Linked DNA regions of Mus musculus. The protein of the gene in region 2 interacts with the protein of the main gene of each other region in a pairwise test. Links are inferred from orthologs where the notes say so. Each region holds a gene or a part of one and is shown on either strand. Other genes may lie near its edges.

Region 1 (3,513 bases), on a different chromosome or scaffold from region 2:
AGATACCTGTGTGAATAAAACATAGGCTCTCAACATCTCATCCCTTTGGACCACAGAAATTGCACCAAAGATATGAAAGTACTTACCGGAACATCCAAATCTCCCAAGAAATCTAAGTTGACAAGCTCAGCTTCTGTCGGCTTTCCAGAACCAGACTCCTCCTCTGTATCCTGTGTACTGAAACCAAGCACGCAGCAAGATCACTTTATGCTCTGGGTATTGAATAGGGCATAAAAGTCAGTAGTGTTGTCTTAACAAGCTTTGTGTTTGGGTCTTAGTCTAAAAACAAATATAAAAAAACCAAAAGACTAGGAGTTGAGAATGGAGAACTGGGCCCGACAGTTACTGCCTCAAGTCCCACCTGCCCACTCACTATGAGGCAAGCCTGATGCTTCCCTTGCTCATAGCAAGCTGTGCAGACAGTGTAGATACCTTACTGTGACATGGTGTCCTCAGAGTCTACAGGGTGAATATCTAGTTAGAGGGGGCAAATCTTTCCTCCCCTGGGCTCAAGGGTCTTGTGTTAGATTTAGCACATAATTCTCAGTATTATTTGATTGTATTTTTTTCTAAAGAGGGTTTTCCCACAAATGTCAGATTTGAAGGCCCTATGGTTTCTGTCACACCAATTCGAATCTGCCTTTATAATACAAGTTGTTATAGATGATTCATGAAGGAACAGGCATTACTGTGGAACTCACTCATAAAAACAGACTGTGTAACCTGGCCTAGTCTGGTACCCCTGCTGTGCAGTCATTGCTGGTGTGGCCTGTGTGAAGAGAGCATGGCAGAGCTCCTTACAAACATGGACTATCTGATAGGTGAGTCTGGCTCTAGGCTCAATGTCCTGTCTGTCACCATCACTCATTCTAGTTGAGATTAGCCTTTTTACAGAAGTTTCAAATCAGTACATTTAGTTAGCAGCCACGAGATGCCTTGGCTGGTGCTAACAGCTTCAAAGGAGGGACATACCTATTTGTTATTGGGGCCACCGGCATTGGCCGCAAAGGGCTGTCTTTCAGAAGAGGGTCAAATTTCACGTACAAAGACTGCTTCCTCCAGGCCGACTCCTTAAACTGAGAGTTGGAGAGATGGGACTAGGAAAATTAGCATGATTCATCATTGCTTTTACAGATACATTCCCAGAAGCCAGGATGATCTTGTTGAGCAAAGTGGTCTGGGGAGACCACAACATACCCCGATAAAACCAGGATTATCTGGGAGTGAGGAGAGTCCTGGGTCAGAACTCTGCTGCAAGACAAAGGCTCTTACACTCAGACTTGACCAGACATGATACAGAAGCTATAGGATGCTCCAGGAATCAAGGATAGATGGCCTGGGCTGACTGGATTACACATTTCAGATAAGGCTGTCATTAAGGGCTAAGTACCTACCGAGGAAGTTCCAAACTGCTCCAGATAATCCACTTCAGCACCAGTACCTAGGACTGAAACAATGAACAGTATTACCATTCACCTCAAATACTGCAGGCCCTGAGGGCTGCATGCCCAAAGGATTCACCAGAGTGGATCATTGCTCTTTGAAATAAATTCAGAGATTGTTTCCAGCACCCAAACTAGCAGCTTCCCTGCTTCTACGAAGAAAGTCCTAGGTGAGCTTCCAGTTTTATACAGGGAGAAAAAGTACTTTCTTTCCCTCTTCTGTATTCTGTAAAGACATTTAAAAATTCTACCCAAGGTTGATTAAATGTGAAGATGTGAAACCCATGGATAAAGACCCAACTTTTCCTTTTGGGGAACTGGTTCTCTAGTCCAGGCTGGCCTTGAACTTTCTATGTAGGTCAAGAAGACCCTGAAAAAAAATTTTTTTCCTTCCTTCCTCCCTCCCTCTCCCTCTCCCTCTCTCTGAGACAGAGTTTCTCTGTGTAGCCCTGGCTATCCTGGAACTCACTCTGTAGACCAGGCTGGCCTCAAACTCAGAAACCCGCCTGCCTCGCCTCCCAAGTGCTGGGATTAAAGGCATGAGCCACCACTGTCTGGCCTTTTTTTTTCCTGTTTTTGAGACAAGGAGTCTCTGTGTGGCCTTGGCTGTCCTCAAACTCTTTCTATAGACCAGACTGGCCTTGAACTCACAGAAATCTGCCTGCCTCTGCTGGAATTAAAGCCTGTGCCACCACTGTCAGGCTGGTCATGGTGTTTCATCACAGCAATAGTAACCCTAAGACAATACCCCATTTCCCCACCCCTCACTTCTAGAGACAGGGTTTCTCTGTGTGACAGCCCTGGTTGTCTTGGAATTGGCTTTGTAGACCAGGCTGGCCCCAAACTCACAGAGATCCTCCTTGCCTCTGCCTACCCAGTGTTGGGATTAAAGGTTTATGTCACCATGTATGGCTGGGAGCAAAAGTTTGTATGTGAATTAGTCAGGGAACAGCCTGTGGATAACTACCTGGAACCTGCAGGTACATAAGTGTCCACAGGGACTTTCAGAGAAGCCTAGGGTGACACCTTGGGGCCACATTGTAGGCATGTTATTGTAATCTGTGTAAAGATTATCCTTGTATTATTCAAATGCTGATTTCTCTGCCTCCATATCTGGTTGCAATCGGGACAAGGCACTGTATTGCTTATTTTAAGTATCGCCTGCCTGAATTTTGTGTAAATATTGTTCCCCACTTACTTTCAGAGTTGTCAATTAAAGCTGATCAGCCAATGATTGGGCAGAAGAGAGACTAGGGCTGGACTTCCAAGCCCGGGGGGGTGTGGGGGGAGAGAGAAGGAGAGGGAGGGAGAGAGGGAGATAGGGAAGGAGCAAGGGGGAGGGAGGGGAGATTAAATTCCACAGGAGAAAAAGAGACATCATGGGAACACACCTGAGCAGAGACAGCCAGACCAATACTAAAATGCAAGTATTTTGGCTGGGAAGTAGCCAGATTAGTTTAGAGTAATAGATCAATTACTATTACTACTATCAGCTACTGTGCTGTAAAGCTTATGAAATAAATCTTACAGTTTAGGGGGCTGGAGAGATGGCTCAGCGGTTAAGAGCACAGATTGCTCTTCCAAAGGTCCTGAGTTCAAATCCCAGCAACCACATGGTGGCTCACAACCATCCGTAATGAGATCTGACGCCCTCTTCTGGTGCGTCTGAAGACAACTACAGTGTACTTACATATAATAAATAAATAAATCTTAAAAAAAAAAAAATCTTACAGTTTCTGTTTCATTTATTGGGAGATAGCTGGGACAGAGAAAGGATTATTACTTTTAAAAATGCATTTACAAAAAAAAAAAAAAAAAAAAAAAAGCATTTATACCACATACCTTCTGATGGGTCTCTGAAGCTCTCTTCCTTTAGATCCACGACAGGTTCTAGTCCCTGATGGGAAGGCTCCAGCAAAGGCTCGATAGGAGGGGTCACCAGCTCACTGTCCAAGACAGGTTCTAGTCCCTGATGGGAAGGCTCCAGCACTGGCTCAATAGGAGGGGTCACCAGCTCACTGTCCAAGACAGGTTCTAGTCCCTGATGGGAAGGCTCCAGCACTGGCTCAAT
Region 2 (3,015 bases):
CATGGAAGCCAGAAGAGGGTTTCAGGCCTGCTGGAATAGGAGGTTCAGGCAGTTGAGTCACCACCATATGACTACTAAAAGCCAACCCAAGGTCCTCTGCAAGAGCAGCAGGTGCTATTGATAGCTTTGAGCCACCTCTCCAGCCCCAGGGTCTTTAATCACTGGGTGATCAATCTGGCAAGATTCTGGGTGACTGGATTGTGTGGTGGGATGACTACTTTTTCAGCAGGTGGGTGCCCTAAACAAAGGCCCTGGAACATCCTTGGGCTCTTGGAATTCACAAGACATGGATGTGTGAGTGAAAAATGAGGCAATCCTGTGCTCAGGCTGGCCTCTAGATAGGAGCTGTGGTGTGACCTTGGACTTCCTCCATATGCTAGCTGTGACGTTCCTGTCCCTCTAGAGCTCTAGGTCCAGAAGTCGCCAGTTGTATGAATCCAAGATAGCAACCCAGAGTGGGTGCAGCCACAGCAAAGGCCACACACACAGCAAAAGGCAGAGATCCTGAGGCAGTTTTGATTCCTATTTATTCAGAGAGCAGAGTAGAGATGGGTGAGGGCCAGGTCTTGTCCTCTGAGCATGTCAGATGCGGATGTGGAAGGTGCTGTGTGCAAAAAGTAAAGGTGTCACTGACAGCTCACAGACAACACCCCATCAGGTCCCCAACACCTCCTTTCTACACGCAGAGGCAAGAGGGACCCACGGGCCTGTGAACCCCCCAGAAATCACAGATTTTCTTGTCCCCATGGGACTTGTTGGGGCCAGGTGTGAAGCCAGGGGTCAACCTTGGGGTCATTCTACAGGTGGCTCCCACAATATATTCTTTAAAATATTTCCCTATTTGTGTGTGTGTGTGTGTGTGTGTGTGTGTGTGTGTGTGTGCAGCATGTTATGTGAAGGAACCTGCAGAGGCCAGAATAGTATGCCAGGTCCCCTGGAGCTGGAGTTGTGGAGAGTTTCAAGCCATCACAGGGGTGCTGGGAACAGAACCACAAGAGCAGCCCCTTCTCCAGACCACAAGACCTGTTCTTGATTTGATTGATTTTAGGTTTTGAAGACCCTGGACACCTCTGTAGCTCATGCAGCCCTGGAACTCACAGTAATCCTCCTGCCTCAGACTCCTGGATATCTCAACTACAGATATGTGTGCCACCATGCCCAGATCTCCTTGGGAATTGTAAGCACCTACCTGGATAATATTCACATCCCAACTCCCTTCCAGACTGGCTGTTGGACTAAAAACTGGTAGTTGGCTACCTTTGAGCCTCAATTTACTCATGGGAGTGGCTAGGCAAGTAATGGCTCAAGCCTTTAATCCCAGCAGTCCAGAGGTAGAGGCAGGTGGATCTCTGTGAGTTCAAGACCAGCCTGCTCTATATAAAGAGTTCTAGGCCAGCCAGGGCTACATAGTAAATATAAGCAAAACCAAATCAATCAATCAATCAAACAGACAACAGAGGATGCAGCTCCAGGTTCTAGTCTTCTGACTGTATTAACTATGTACCCACCCCCAGCCTTACAGCTGAGCCTCTGACCCTATCCCAGGGTGCTGAGGACCATTCACAGTAAAACCCTGTGGCAGTTGATGGGAATGCTGCTTCTGTCCACAGGAGATGCTCACAGCCTCCTAGCTATGGACCTCAGGCAGAATGGGCTGAAACTGGAGAAGCTGGGGATGTTCCCTGAGGCCTCTGATGACACAACAGGAATTCTCATTGCTGGGTTTGAACTTTTACCTGAGGAAGTCTGGAGCTCGCAGGATCATATTTTGGAAGTCCTCCAGGGACAGTCGCCCGTCTTGGTCTCCATCTGCTTCATCCAGCACCTTCTCACAGACCAGGGTCACTTCCTCAGCACTCAGTTCCCCACGAGTCAGCCTGGTCACGGTCTGCTCCAGGTCCCATGCACAGATGTAGTTGTCATTGTTGAAGTCTGTGAAGCCGACAGTAGGGGGGACAGCAGGCAGCAGAAGGACACATCTATCCCCCCATGTTTGGAGCTGTACATGGATACCCAGAACTCATGCAGCAGTTATTGAGCACCTACTGATTACCCTACAGCTTCGCACCATGGGCACTGAGAGCCATTGAACCAGTGTGACAACTGTTTATTTTATTTACTGTGTGCCAGGAACCATGATTACTGATCTTCTCTTACTTCGGCATTTATGGAGTGCCTTCTGCATGCCAGGCACTGCGATAGCTTTTTCATTCATTCGGTTTATTGAGTGCTTAATGTGTCTCAGCCAGACACCCTGAATTCATTTCACAGTTTTACTCAACAAGCATTTGTTAGTGCCTTCTGCTTACCAGCCATTGGGATAATGTATTTATCCATCCGTCATTCACAACTGACTGAGCATGCACAGTGTGCCAGGCATATATATAACTGCTCTTCACTTATCCATACATTCAGCAAATATTTACTGGATACCTGCTATGTGTTAATTTTTTGACATTCATTCACTTAAGTATTTATTAAGTATATACTATGTACCAGGCATTGTGATAGCTGCTTCATATTCATTCTCCAGCTTATCAAGTATTTATTGTATGCCAGACCCTGTGGCTGTGATTTTTTTTCATTAACTCCCCCTACACATGCTGAAATAAGAAATAATGTAAAAGGTTGTTTTCACATTACAGAGCTACCCATATGCTCCTGATGACCTCCACAGCAGATACGGCTGAGGTCATACACAGGAGCACAAGTGATTCGATCAACAGATGAACCGTCACCTGTGGGAGCTGTGAACTGTTGGGGCCTGGAAGAGTTTTCCTGGTTCATTTACTGAGCAGCTACGGTGTTTCGGGAACTACAGCATCACTCTTCATTGATTCACCCATGAGTATTAAATGTCTACTATGGGCCAGACTCTGAGAAAAATGCTGTTATTCCATATGTCCTCATATTGAACATTGAATATTGTGCTCTGAAGAGAGACAGATGGGGGCTCCTGGGTGGCATTTCTTGGTGAGGGGCTGGGGCCATGGCTCCAGGGTAGAGCCACTGCCT
Region 3 (4,310 bases), on a different chromosome or scaffold from region 2:
GCTTGTCACTTAGCAGCACCAGTGTCTTTACCCACTGAGCCACCTCCTCAGCCCAGCATTCTACTGTTTGGATTTGTGTTTGTGCTTGTTTGGCTGTTTATGTAGTACGTGTATCGAGTGACTGAGAAAGTCAGAATAGGGTGTTGGATCTTCTAAAACTACAGTTATAGGCAGTCATGAGCTGCCATGTGGGTGCTGAACTGAACCTGAACCAGGAGCCGAGCCTGGTCCTCTGCAAGAGCAACAAGTACTCTTAGCCACTGAGCCACCTCTCCAGCCCTTAATGTTCTACTCTTAGTAAATCATCAGGCTATTTTACTTTATTTTATTTTTCAGTGCTGTAACCAAGTGCAGGTGTTTAACATGCTGAAATGTGAGGCAAGCACTCTTTCACTAAACTGTACCTTTCCAAACATATTTTAAGAATAGCTGAAGGCCAGGTGTGGAGCGCAGGCCTTTAACCCCAGCTCTCAGGAGGCAGAGGTTAGTGAATCTCTGAGTTAGAGGCCGCCTGGTCTATAGATTGAGTTACAGGACAATCATGGCTGTTGCCCAGAAAAACCCTGTCTCAAAATAAACGAAAACCCAAAACCAAGACAAAGAGACAAACAAAAACATACACAAAAACTAAACTAAAACCCAACTAACCAAACAACCAAAAAAAAAAAAAAAAAGAATATTAGGTGTGGCATAAGTCTCTGGTTCCAGTCACTGACAGGCTGAGGAGGGTTGGTTGCTCTGTTTCCCAGGCTAACTTGGGCAAGTTAGTGAAACTGTCGCAAAAAAAAAAAAAAAAAAAAAAAAAAGTTCGTCGGTTTTTTTTGCTAGTTTGTTTTGTTTTGTTTTGTTTTGTTTTAAGACAGGATCTCACTCTGAGGTCCAGGCTGGATTCAAATCCACTAAGTAGTCCGGCTGCAAACTCAAAGCAATCCCCCATACTTTAGTTTTCCCATACTGGGGTTATGGGTGTGAACAACCACGCCCCGCAGGAAATTATTTTCAGGGACTTAAACTGCTGCCCAAAGTCACACAGCTCCTCCGGAACTGATGCCCAGGACGTGACTCTGGTGTCGTTCCGTCCCCCCCTTACTCCCGTCTTTAATCATAGTAGAATCCAGTTGTCTCACTGTATTGAGTCCAGTATCCTAAGCCCTACTGAGAAAACTGTTAATTTTGTAACTCTCAAGAAGTAGGTCCTCTTCCAGAAGTCATACAGTTTTCTAAAATAACACATGAAGTGACAGGCCTGTACTTTTTAAAGTACAAAACCCCTACCTGTCATCGCCCCACAAGGGAAATCGCTACCAGAGCTGTCCCTTCGCTCAGGCAGTCCTCCTGGGCATGCGCTTTAGGGACAACCTCCCCCCTCCTTCTGGAACGGCCCCGCTCAGGCTCCGCCCACCACCACCAACGAGAGCCGATCCCTGAGCTGCAGGGCGGGGCTGCCACGCGAGTGGGCGGGAACTAGGGATAGTCGAGTGTCTGGAGTCGTGCGCCGGAGTCAGAACTGCGCCTACCGTCCCAGGTGTCGGTTGCTGGAGCAGAACAAGCTAGCGATGCTACGGCAGCCGCTTCCTGATTGGCTGCGTGTGGCTCCCTCTTCGTTCTGATTGGCCGCGAGTGATCTGTGTATGTAAATGAAGGGGCCTGGTGGGGAAAGACGGGGGTACGGGGGGCCGGGTTCTTTAGGGTGTTCGATACCTCAGCTAGGTAGATGGTGGCCGGGGCTGACCGGGATCGAGCGCCCAGGGCCTGTATGTGTCGCCCGCCCGGGCCGGGCTGGGTGAATCACGTCGGAGCCCGAGAAGGGGGCGGAGGCGCCGGCTCCCTGGCTCCGGCTGCGTGACTCACCCGCCCCCGCCGCCGCCGCTCCGGGAGGAGCCGCCTCCGCTGCCTTCCGGAAGCGAGGGAAGGCCGGGCTCACTGAGCGGCCCGCGGGGGTCGCGGCTCGCTGTGGCCCGGGAGGGACAGGCGGTACCCTGGGGAATCTAAAGGATCCCGGGGTCACTGGGGCCGGAGTCCCCGGGGGAGCCCAGGTTGGAGTACCGCTAGGGGGCGCCGGGACTCGGGGGGGCGGAGTCGGGGTGGGGGCTGAATTCCTGCGGTTCCCGGCTCCCGGGTCTTCAGCGAAAAGGGCAAAGACTGGATTTTTAGTGTCTTGCTAGGTCTAGGCAGCGTCCCCGGGACTGAGACCCTGCGGCCTTTATGCCCCCGTTAGATTAGGCTAGGGGCTTCAAACTCTAGTCCTCTTGGAAGAAAGTACCGATTTTCAAACTTCTGTCAATGACTTACTCCCGCGGCCCTTCAGGGTTTCCCTTGTCTCTCTCTTTCCTCAATAAGTTCGGGACCCTTACTTCCTTGAGTGACTACTAACAGCTTAGGCTTTAAACCCAAGCGGCCAGCATCCCAGTGAGTACAGCAGTCGGAAGGCAGGCAGTTCAGGCCCACTTCTATCTCCAAACCTACACACACACACACACACACACACACACACACACACACACACACACATGATGCTGCCCCGCCACCGATCTTTCCCCAGGCAGCAGCTACCGGGGATCCTCTAGAGACCTTGCCAACTAACGTCACCATTCATCTTCCTGCCTAGACCCTACCCTCCATGACTCTGTCCTGACACTCTGAAAATCCAAGCCTCCTATTCCTGCCCGCGCCTCCTCCTGCTTGCTCCCCACCCCCACCGGGACTCCTACTGTGTCACACTCTCTGCGCCTGCTCCTAGTGTGTGGTGGCCTTCTTTTTTTTTTTTTTTTTAAACTCCCCAGTTCAGGTTTACCTCTCTCTGTCTTCCTTTGGCTCTTTCAGGAAAGCCTGGCCCTGCTTCTCCATAGCCTACAGTGCAAACAGCAGGACTCAGCTTCAATGTACTTATCTTTCTTAGAAAAACCTGCCTTGACTACCTCCCAGGATGGCATCTTCCTACCACTTTCTGTACATTTGACCATAGAGTTCCATGCATAGCAGATACTCTGTATTGAACTGTGTAAGATGGCTGTATTTGTAATCAAGGAATGGAACACACCTGTAATCCTAACCCCTTGGGAGACTGAGACAGGAGGATTGCCTGGAATGGCTGGTCAGCCCGGACTACAGTGTGGGGCCCTGTCTCAAAAGAGCAAAACCAAAGAGTGCTTATAAATAAGAACTAGTGATGTGGTTTTAGAGCTTGCTGTTCCTACAAAGGACCTGATTTCAGTTCCCAGTACTCACATCTGATGGCGTACAGTTACTTTAAAATCAGCTCCAGGGATTCCAGCAGCTGGCTTCTTTGGACATCTGCACGCTCATGCGCGCACACACACAAACACAAAAATGTAAAATAAAAGTAAAATTTCAAGTACTAATGACCATGTTGCAAGGGCTTTTTGTTCCTTTAATCTAATCTGTAGTAGCAACTTATAACAGAATGCTGTCTGTATCTCAGAAGCTCACTGAGGACGCTGAGAATATAACTCAGTTGGTAGAATGTTTGCCTTACATGCAGGAGGCCCAGGAAGTTCCATCCCCAGCATCAAATACACCAAGTATGGTGGCACACACCTGTAATCCCAGCGCTGGGAAGGGGAAGAAGGGAAGAGCAGAAGCTGCCTACATAGCACGTTTGGGGGCAGGTCAGCCTGAGTTACACGGGACCCTGTCCCGTTAGAAACAAATAAGAATTTGCTTAGAAAACCTAGACCTGGAGGTTAATCGACTGGTCAGGATCCCACAGACAGCAGTTGTCAGAGCTGGGTGTGAACTGAGTATTGGCTTCCCATAACTGAATGGCTCCTTCCTCCCTGCAGAGGATGCTGAGCAAAGGTCTGAAGCGCAAGCGGGAGGAGGAGGAGACGATGGAAGCCCTCTCCGTGGACTCGTGCTGGTTGGATCCGAGCCACCCGGCAGTGGCGCAGACCCCGCCGACGGTGGCTTCTAGCTCCCTCTTTGACCTCTCAGTGGTCAAGCTCCACCACAGCCTGCGGCAGAGCGAGCCGGACCTCCGGCACCTGGTGCTTGTGGTGAACACACTGAGGCGCATCCAGGCGTCCATGGAACCCGCACCTGTCCTGCCGCCTGAGCCCATCCAGCCCCCAGCCCCTTCTGTGGCAGACAGCCTTCTGGCTAGCTCAGATGCTGGCCTCTCAGCCTCCATGGCCAGCCTCCTGGAAGATCTCAACCACATTGAGGACCTGAACCAGGCCCCCCAACCCCAAGCAGATGAGGGGCCTCCAGGCCGCTCCATCGGGGGGATCTCACCCAACCTGGGTGCCTTGGACTTGCTAGGCCCAGCCACTGGCTGTCTGCTGGACGAT
Region 4 (4,301 bases), on a different chromosome or scaffold from region 2:
ACTGAATATTTGTCCTTAGATCAACTTAAGACTAATGTAGTTTCTATTTTTATTAGATCAAGTCCTATGCAACCTTAGGTTTGATGAGCTAATCCAGATGTTTTTTTTTTTCTGATACATTCAAGTATGCAACAAATGAACTTTTAAATGTGAGTGAGAGCACCACATAACTACCACTGGTCTATGCACCCCATTTGGACAGCCAATGGGCCTGTGTATTCATATTCAGTACCATTACAGCTGATTCTTCAAAAATCATGCTCAAAATGCTGTAGCGTGCTTTGCTTGGACCTTCCTTATCCTAGACATCTGTACCCAGCTGTGACGAACTGTTCACACTCTACTCTTATAGAGACACACATCGTTCAGAGTGATTCCTTTATCTCTAATGGCTCCTCTCTACCCTTCTTTGCCCTGCAAACTCCTTATTCCCTCAAGGCCTGTCATGTCACCTCCTCACAAAAGACGTTTCCATAACCTCCTCCTCTGATTAGCTACTCTTTCCTCACCATATCACAATGCTGTCTACCTGTTTCCATTCTCCTACAATCTTCTACTCCATGGTACCTCACAACTGTGGTCACCTAGCTCCCCGAAATCCAGTGAGGGTTCAGGCCTTGTATTCGATTGTATCTTCTTGTATTTCACGTGTACTCGGGTCCCAGAGGACATCTAGTAACCTGGGTCCCCTTGAAAAAGCTGAAATGAAATAAAACCCAAAGAACTGTCTACACCCAAATGATGTAAAGGTTGGACATAATTTTTTGTATAGAATCATCTAATTTAGAAAAAGAAACATTGACTATAATTTTGGCAGGCATAATCAACTATGGTTATAACAGTTAATCTAATGTGGTATTGGCAACGACTTTACAGCAGACACACTCTGACACAAAAATCCAAATGACTCATTTGGGTTTCTTCCAGGATGAACAATTGTACCTTAATCTTTCCTTGCCACAGTTGGAAAATCATGAACAAAAATACACATCAGAACTAGGAAACCATGGGCGAAGAGCATGGGCGTTCAAGTCAGAAGTTTGTACATCAAAACTCCACCTCGATTATCTCTAATCTATTTGTCTTTAGATATTTGCTTAAAATACCCAGTTTAGTTTCTTCTTCTAGAGAAATAGTGGAAATAATAGTACATATAAGACTCTCAGACAGTGTCACTAAGTGCTTATGATTCTTGGACATTATGTGGGCTCAATAAATAGGAGTCAATACTGTCTTCTAATCAGATGGTTACAATTCAGGTATTCTGCTACACAAGGACAGCAAACTCATTTCTTATTATGTTTATGGCACTTTGCTTTCTAATTGACAGATACAGGTTGTGGCGAAGATTAGCCACAAATAAAACATCTACAAGACAAAAGTTTCTCCTTATATTTAAACTCACACCTGGAACATACCACCACACTTCTTTGTGTTCTCCAAGAATTGATCTCAAATCAGGTTCCCCTAGGATGAAAAGGAAAATCACCCAGTCTTAATTTTTTTGTCTTTAATTTTATTCAATACAGAATAAATTCAAACTTTGCATATTCTTCTACCTGTCATGTCACTATGATCTCCCAATATTATCCTAGTATTATCTCCCAATATATCCCTGCTGATACCTCTTCTAGAACCATGTGTGCCTCTGTCATACACTCCTTCCTTTTCCATCCCCCACTTCTTATTCGCCAAGTCCTGCATCATCAAGAAGCATTTTCTTCCTCTTATGCTCCTTTTGAATCTCTTTTAAACCACTGGAGCCCAAATGAAAGGCAACCTCTTCCACAAAGCATACTAGGATTGTTCTAAGGAAAGAGTAAGTTTCAAGACGTCAGGAAGCTCTGAGTTAGGCTAGAACTTTTACAAAGCAGCCTCTCAATTCTATCTATTGGTGTTAATCAGATTTTGCTGGAAGCCCTTAATATGCTCCAGGTTTTTAAATGGTCCAATTTGCCCTCTACCCTCACTAGAACACTGTACTGAACCTTAATTGTGTATTTCTCAAAAGTAAGATTCTTTTTTTTTCTGCTTCCTATCCCTTCTGGAAATTGAAGGACACCTTTTCCACTCCAATGACTAGTTGAAAAAGGCCAGTAAAAAGAGATGAGCCAAGAGAAAGAGATTGAGAGAGAGAAAGAGAGAGAGAGAACACCTCATTATCAGGAAGCAGAAATGGAAATTGACAGAAAATCAAGCCCTGGGTTTAGCAAGGAATTTCCACTCGCCTAGAGGAAACGGGGGTGCAGGGTGGGGTCGAGTGGGGTTTGTGTGTGTACTTGCAGTGGTAGGTGCTCAGAGCTGAGCAACAAATTAAAGGCGGGAACAGAGCACCCAACTCCTGCCTGAAGGGGAATCCAGATGCCACTTTTTGGAGGCTCTCTCATCCTAAGAAGGAGCCTGCGCTGGGTGGTGGGGAGAGGGGCGGGTGGAGGTAGGAAATAAGAGAAGAGTTGGGAGGAGGGGGGACGTGCTTGTGCTTTGGATGCTAAGGCAACTGGTGCCTGCCCCCCAACTCCAGTCAAGGCACCCACCACCCATGAAGAAGCGGGCTGGGCGGAGTTAGGCGCCAAAGATTGCGGCCCCGGAAGCACCCTCCTCCCTAGACCCCCTCGGTCCCACAGTCCCCGGCCACTGCCACTCGGGCTTTCTGCCTCGCTGACCTCCAGCTCCCCGGCTACCGAAGCGCTACTCCTTAAACAGCCGCGGAAAATCGGACCCGCTCGGAAGTTCCTGGACCCGGAGTGCCCTCAGGGTGGGGTGTGCCCCACAACTGTCTTCCCAACCGTGCACCTTCTACTAGATGGCCTAGGCCAGGCAATGGGGCCCAATAGCTGGACTCTAACCTACCAGGTGACTATTGAAGCCTCTCCCATTGGCTAGGGCATCAGAGAACCGCGAGGCCCGAGCATGTGTCTTCATGGGAAATGTAGTTTGAGGTCACAGGAAACTGTTATTCCTCAGAAGTATCCAATATTTGCTTAGGTATCAAGGGATGCTAGAGGATTCTGGGAGATGAAGTCAAAATGCTTTCTTCTAGATACCCACAATTCCTCTCACACCAAGCTTCCTGAAAACCCTGAGTTGAAATACAGGACAGTGTTATGGGTATTGTAGTTTAGTGTGCAAGGACCCTCAAGCTTAGGTATAGAGAGCTTGTAGAGACAGATAAATGTTCGAGATTCTTTTGAATACTAGAAAAGTATTTATGTTTTGAGAAAGAATGTTTGCATTGCATTATAATTTGACATTTTCATTTGAAGTCTGAGTATGGTTGATTTTTTTGTTTAAGGAAGAATGCTGCTATCTAGCCTAGAACTGGCTTTGAATTAAGAATCCTACTGCCTAAGCCTCTTCAAATGCATAATTAAACACATGTGCTATGAACATATACATTTCCGTTTTGTTAAGATTAAATTTTTAATTAAAAATATACCTTGTAAAAGTTTGCCTTTTGTTAGAGTCATTAGAAAACTAGGTACTTCTAATTGGGAATTATATTTTCCTTTAGGACTTGTCATAATTAAATATGTAAATGTGATGTGGAGATACCAAAAGAAATCTACTAAATAGATAGGCAGTTAAGCTGTATTCTTGTATTGAAGATTGATGGCTTTGCCATATACTAGTATAATGCTATAGCTCATAACAGATGCACAATACAACTAGAAAAATATCTTACATATCTTCAAGAAAACATCTTTTAAGTAAAACTATGTAACAAGAGACCAGTAAATAAATGGGTGGATAAACACCAGTAGACCCAACTTCATAAAAGACACATTAGATCTAAAAACACATACTAATGCAAACACATTTAAAGTAGGTGACCTTAAAACCCCACTCCCACCAAAAAGCAGGACGAAAACTAAACAGAGAATTTCTAGAGTTTACACAACATCAAAAATCAAATAGACTGAACAGACATCTACAGAAATTACACTCAGACACTAAAGAGTACATATTCTTCTCATCAGCCCATGGAAACTTCTACAAAATTAACATGTTAGGACACAAATCAAGACTGAACAAACAAAGAAAAGAAAATTTGAAATAATATCCTACATTTTATTGAATCACAGTAGAATAAGGGTAGATATTAACAGCAATAGAAACTATAAGAAATACACAAACTCAAAAAAGCAAAACACACTACTGGATGATAATTTGGTCAAAAAACTCAAGGAGACAAATTTTTAATTCTTAGAATTGATGGAAAAGGAAAACAACACATCAAAACAAATAGCACATGATAAAGGCTAGGCTAAGGGGAAGTTTTATAGCACTAAGTGCCTACATTA
Region 5 (4,142 bases), on a different chromosome or scaffold from region 2:
CCACATGGCAGCTCACAACTGTCTGTTCCATGATATCCAACACCCTCACACAACATACAAGCAGGCCAAACACCAATGCACATAAAATGCATATAAGTAAATGCATATTTTATTTAAAAAAAAAAAGACTTGCTAACTCACCATTCAGTTTTCAAGTCTAATATATAAGAGTATAAGAAATAGGGCAATTCCTTGGCATCTGAAGGGGTTGGTTCAAGGGCATCCTCACCCCCGTAGACATTAAACTCTGCATATAACTAAGTGCTTGTACAAAACTACCTTCTCTTGCTCATAACCTACGCCAATCCCCTGCCCATTTTAAGTCATCTCAGATTGTAACACCTATGCAGTTTTGAATCGCAGTTCTGCTGGCTGTTTAGGGAGTAAGGACAGACCAAAAGGGGGCTGCTTGTTCAGTAGGGACACGATACCATGATGGGCCTCACTGAATAAGGAATGTCAGTAACAAGGTAGGCCCTGCCGCTGATTGGATCTTAGCTGTGGGAGCCTTCCCAATGCTTTTTTGGAAACTGTAATATTACCTCGTTGGGTCCTCTCCACTGAATGAGCCACATCCTCACAGTGATGAATTTGGACAGCGGTAAATTATTGTAGCTTGGACTCTAAACAAACCACTCTTGAACTGCATGGTAACTATTAGTTCTTCCTGAAGAGTCAATAGACTAAAGAAAAGGCCAGAGCATTCCATGTTAATGGCCATACTTTCAAACCCATTTATTTATATTTAGTGTCCTATGAGAAGTTCTCTCTACCTGTATTTCAGTATAAAATAGAAACTACAATCTCACCAAATAATAATCCACACAAGCCACCAGTAACGGGATGATATAAGAATAATTAAAGGTATGGATGCCATGTTTGTTTTTTTTGACACAGTACAATTTATATACATGGAGAGTTTTCTAGGAAAATAAAGGTAAGGTTTGAGTAAACGTTCTCAGAAGATACTGACAGGGCACATTTTCACTGAAACAAACATTGATAATGACAGTTGATGGCCCCATGTATGCCGCAATCCAAAATGAGGTCATGGTAACTGAGTGAAATAGAATTCTGCAAATGAGGGAGGGAAGAAAGGGGAGACCGTATTTACCCAAGGGAGAAGGGAGGCAGGGCCTGCTTCTCTTTAATTGATCTTTAATCATTATATGAGCCTATGTTTGAACAGGACGGGAATGTAGTGCATATCATAAAAAGTCTATAAAATGCTTTCTGTCTTGGTTCAAGGCCGTGGTGGGCCAAGTGCTCTGAATCACTCCTGCTCTTCTGTTGCTTGGAGTTGAAGCGCCCATGCTGGCTCTGTTAAGGGTGAAATGGAGTGGAAATCTGAAACTGGAGGTCATATAAAATCCAGCACAGTAACTCCCGCCCCCAGGAAGGAATCTGGAAGTACTTGTTATGCTGTACTGAGCTTATAACTATATTTCAAGAATACAGATGTGAAGGTTAAGCTCCATCTTAGAAGGAAAAACAAACCAACCAACCCTGAGCGGGCGCGGGGGGGGGGGCGGGCATAGATATGCAAACTGTCACAAGAACAACCTCTCATGTATATCCTAGCGTGTAGCCTAATCTTTAGACTCTCAGAACTTCAAATGCTGTTAAATGTACTATCTAAAAAGCATTTGAGAGGTGGGGCCGTAACTTATCAGTTCAGCCGAGCATTAATTCCCCAGAACCTCAAAATAAATAAATACGTGTCCCGTTCCCCCTCCCCCCCACACACACACTAGAATTAAAAAGTATTTGAATCTAACGCTATCTGTGCCCTAATTCGATTAAGGAGTTGCAGAAAATAAGTCAGTTGCTCCCTGGAATCGATTAGATTACAAATGGGGAAATGTCTGGGGTTCGCGGAATGCTTTGCATCTGACAAGCATTTTTGGGACAAGCTTCCTCCCCACCCCCAATCCTTTACATCTTGACAGCAGCATGCAGATTTTTCAGCATCAATCAAAAAGCCCAGAAAGGCAACATCTCCACCTTTTAATAAACCAGACGTGCAGCGTGAGCTTGGCCAGAGGGTAAGCGTGAAAACTAATAGACAGGAATCTAGCTGAGTAGTTCCTTCAAAGAGAAAGAACATTTTTTTGTTTGTTTATTTTTGGAAGAAAAAGAAATGGGGTTGGGGGTGGGGGTGGGAAGAGGACACCTTTCCAAGCTTTAAGATTATAGAGTCGCTTTCTACTCCAGGGTCAAATGACTTTGCAAGCGTTCCTTGCAGGTCAGGGTCTGCAGAGGGTCCGTGAGATTCCGGGAACAGTGCTGGCGGGCTGACAGCTCCGAAAAACCGCCCGCGCCCCTCACGCCCCCACCCCCAGGGACACTTACCGCGACCCTCGCGGCTGCTGCTCGCACCCGGATCTCTGGCGGCCGCGGACCCCGGTATCCCGGCTCCCGCCGCACGCGGCCTCACGGTCACACGGCTCGCTCGCGGGACACGATCTGAGCGGCGGGCTCGGCAGAGAGGACGGACGCGAGGAGCGGAGCTGGCCTCGCGGGCCGCGCCGGGGCCTTCCCTCCGTGTCGTCTGTACCAAACAGCTCCTCTCTGGGTCACTTCCATTCTGTGCTCAGTCCCAGAGCGGCGAGACATCTGCTTTCCATAAGCCTCGCGCAGAGGCAAATCCTGGATTAGATGCCAGAGCCCACGGTACAGCTGATCCGCGCACAAAGAGCCGCGGACAAACACGCAAGTTGGTGCCCGGTTCCAGAACGATTCGGATGACTCAGGCGGCCGCAGCCGGGATGCGCCAATCCGCGGCTGGCTGGGTTTTCAGGTCTACTGCGGAAAACTCTCTCTCTCTCACACACACACACCCGCCCGCCCACCCCACGAAAGCACGCTCTGTCCCTGCAGGGGAAGTGACTTCAGCTGTACCGGGCTGAGCGAGCTCGACGCAGCCTGCCTCCACCGCCGGGCGTTCGGTATTGAAAGCACACACTGCTGACCGTGACAAGGGGAAAAGCTTTGCTTTAATTCCAATTCACGAGTCAGTTATGATACAGTCAGCGCTGAAAAGGATGAGGAAGTGCTGTCTTTGCAAATTGATTTTTCATTCTCCCAAACAGCTGGGCAAAATTGCTGTTTCTCCGCCCCCCCCCCCCCCCCCCCCGTCCCTTCCTCACTTTGGAGTGCCTTTGACAGCGTGAAGTCGCTACTTCCTCTCAAGTGCTCTACTGTGTTGGGCTGGTTATGCTAGGGAGACTTACCAGTTCCCAACCCTGAAAAATTACAGTCAAAGAAACATAGGGTGGGGTTGGGGAGAGCACAGATGGGGCTTTTCAATCAGTCTAGAATCCAAAGACAGCTCCCCACCTCCAACCCCCACCTGCCGCCACCTCCCGGACAAGCCTTTTAAATTTTGGGCTTCTGCAGGCTCTAGAACAAAGAGGCTGGGCACTAGCTGATCCTGAATGTGGCTTTAGGGGCAGAGCAGGAGCAATGAAGACAGATAGATGCTCTATGGTGGATGGCAAAGAAGTTAGGTCACCGTGCTTGTCGTCCTAGGTAAACTGGGACCTTGGCATCTGACTAGAAACTAAAGGGACCCTCTGAGAGATTTGGAGCTGGCAAGTGATGTAATAAGATTTCCACCGCAGAAAGATAATTTCACAAGGCTACTCCAACCTAGAAAGGGGGTGGAGGTGAGTTTGAAATGAAGGGGAAAGACTCCAAAGACAGCAAGAGAGAGACTAAAATAAAATGCCCATTACAGGGGTGGGGCAAAGGTATCCTACAGAGGTCATAGCCTCCTGTCTGCCTCCTGTGGCAGGACAAGTAGAAGAAAATGAGAGAGGACCCAGAGAAGCCAGGAGTTGGGTTCAGAACGAGGTCACAGAATACAAATCAGCCACACAGATTTCTAAAGTATTTGGGACCTTCTGGCTAAGCAAGACAGGTTGGGCAGGTGTGTGGTTAGACAGCGAAGGTAAATACAGAGTAGAGAAAAACGGTTTGTATTGGTGTGTTGCATCTGTCAAAACAAAGTACCTGGAAGTGAGGAGATTAAATAACAGAAATAAATTGCCTCACAGCCTGGGAGCCTGCAGCCAGTGTGATGGGAGGAGCTTACTCCAGGAAGGACCCCTGGTTCCTTGGCTAGCGGCATTGTAAGCACT

Evidence for each region.
Region 1: the proteins of Cib3 (region 2) and Tacc3 interact in binary tests that used the Homo sapiens proteins (3 or more experiments, as listed by UniProt). The two-hybrid records come from large-scale screens. The link is inferred for Mus musculus from reciprocal best matches to the Homo sapiens genes CIB3 and TACC3.
Region 3: the proteins of Cib3 (region 2) and Sertad1 interact in binary tests that used the Homo sapiens proteins (3 or more experiments, as listed by UniProt). The two-hybrid records come from large-scale screens. The link is inferred for Mus musculus from reciprocal best matches to the Homo sapiens genes CIB3 and SERTAD1.
Region 4: the proteins of Cib3 (region 2) and Enox2 interact in binary tests that used the Homo sapiens proteins (3 or more experiments, as listed by UniProt). The two-hybrid records come from large-scale screens. The link is inferred for Mus musculus from reciprocal best matches to the Homo sapiens genes CIB3 and ENOX2.
Region 5: the proteins of Cib3 (region 2) and Trim2 interact in binary tests that used the Homo sapiens proteins (3 or more experiments, as listed by UniProt). The two-hybrid records come from large-scale screens. The link is inferred for Mus musculus from reciprocal best matches to the Homo sapiens genes CIB3 and TRIM2.

Annotation. Positions count from the first base shown.
Region 1 is NC_000071.6:33,664,627-33,668,139, reverse strand, and holds part of Tacc3 (transforming acidic coiled-coil-containing protein 3), read right to left. Parts: coding exon 3,285-3,513; intron 1,448-3,284; coding exon 1,395-1,447; intron 1,098-1,394; coding exon of another isoform or gene 1,077-1,097; coding exon 973-1,076; intron 178-972; coding exon 87-177; intron 7-86; coding exon 1-6. UniProt on the Homo sapiens protein: Plays a role in the microtubule-dependent coupling of the nucleus and the centrosome. Involved in the processes that regulate centrosome-mediated interkinetic nuclear migration (INM) of neural progenitors.
Region 2 is NC_000074.6:72,203,827-72,206,841, forward strand, and holds the end of Cib3 (calcium and integrin-binding family member 3), read right to left. Parts: intron 1,933-3,015; coding exon 1,737-1,932; intron 605-1,736; coding exon 583-604; 3' UTR 509-582; downstream 1-508. UniProt on the Homo sapiens protein: Acts a an auxiliary subunit of the sensory mechanoelectrical transduction (MET) channel in hair cells. Plays a role in regulating hair cell MET channel localization and function.
Region 3 is NC_000073.6:27,485,450-27,489,759, forward strand, and holds the start of Sertad1 (SERTA domain-containing protein 1), read left to right. Parts: upstream 1-1,503; 5' UTR 1,504-1,629; intron 1,630-1,930; exon of another isoform or gene 1,931-2,036; intron 2,037-3,803; 5' UTR 3,804-3,806; coding exon 3,807-4,310. UniProt on the Homo sapiens protein: Acts at E2F-responsive promoters as coregulator to integrate signals provided by PHD- and/or bromodomain-containing transcription factors. Stimulates E2F1/TFDP1 transcriptional activity.
Region 4 is NC_000086.7:49,285,438-49,289,738, forward strand, and holds the start of Enox2 (ecto-NOX disulfide-thiol exchanger 2), read right to left. Parts: upstream 2,806-4,301; 5' UTR 2,664-2,805; exon of another isoform or gene 1,479-2,663; intron 1,468-1,478; 5' UTR 1,408-1,467; exon of another isoform or gene 1,406-1,407; intron 1-1,405. UniProt on the Homo sapiens protein: May be involved in cell growth. Probably acts as a terminal oxidase of plasma electron transport from cytosolic NAD(P)H via hydroquinones to acceptors at the cell surface.
Region 5 is NC_000069.6:84,256,973-84,261,114, forward strand, and holds the start of Trim2 (tripartite motif-containing protein 2), read right to left. Parts: upstream 2,808-4,142; 5' UTR 2,353-2,807; intron 1,253-2,352; exon of another isoform or gene 1-1,252. UniProt on the Homo sapiens protein: UBE2D1-dependent E3 ubiquitin-protein ligase that mediates the ubiquitination of NEFL and of phosphorylated BCL2L11. Plays a neuroprotective function. May play a role in neuronal rapid ischemic tolerance.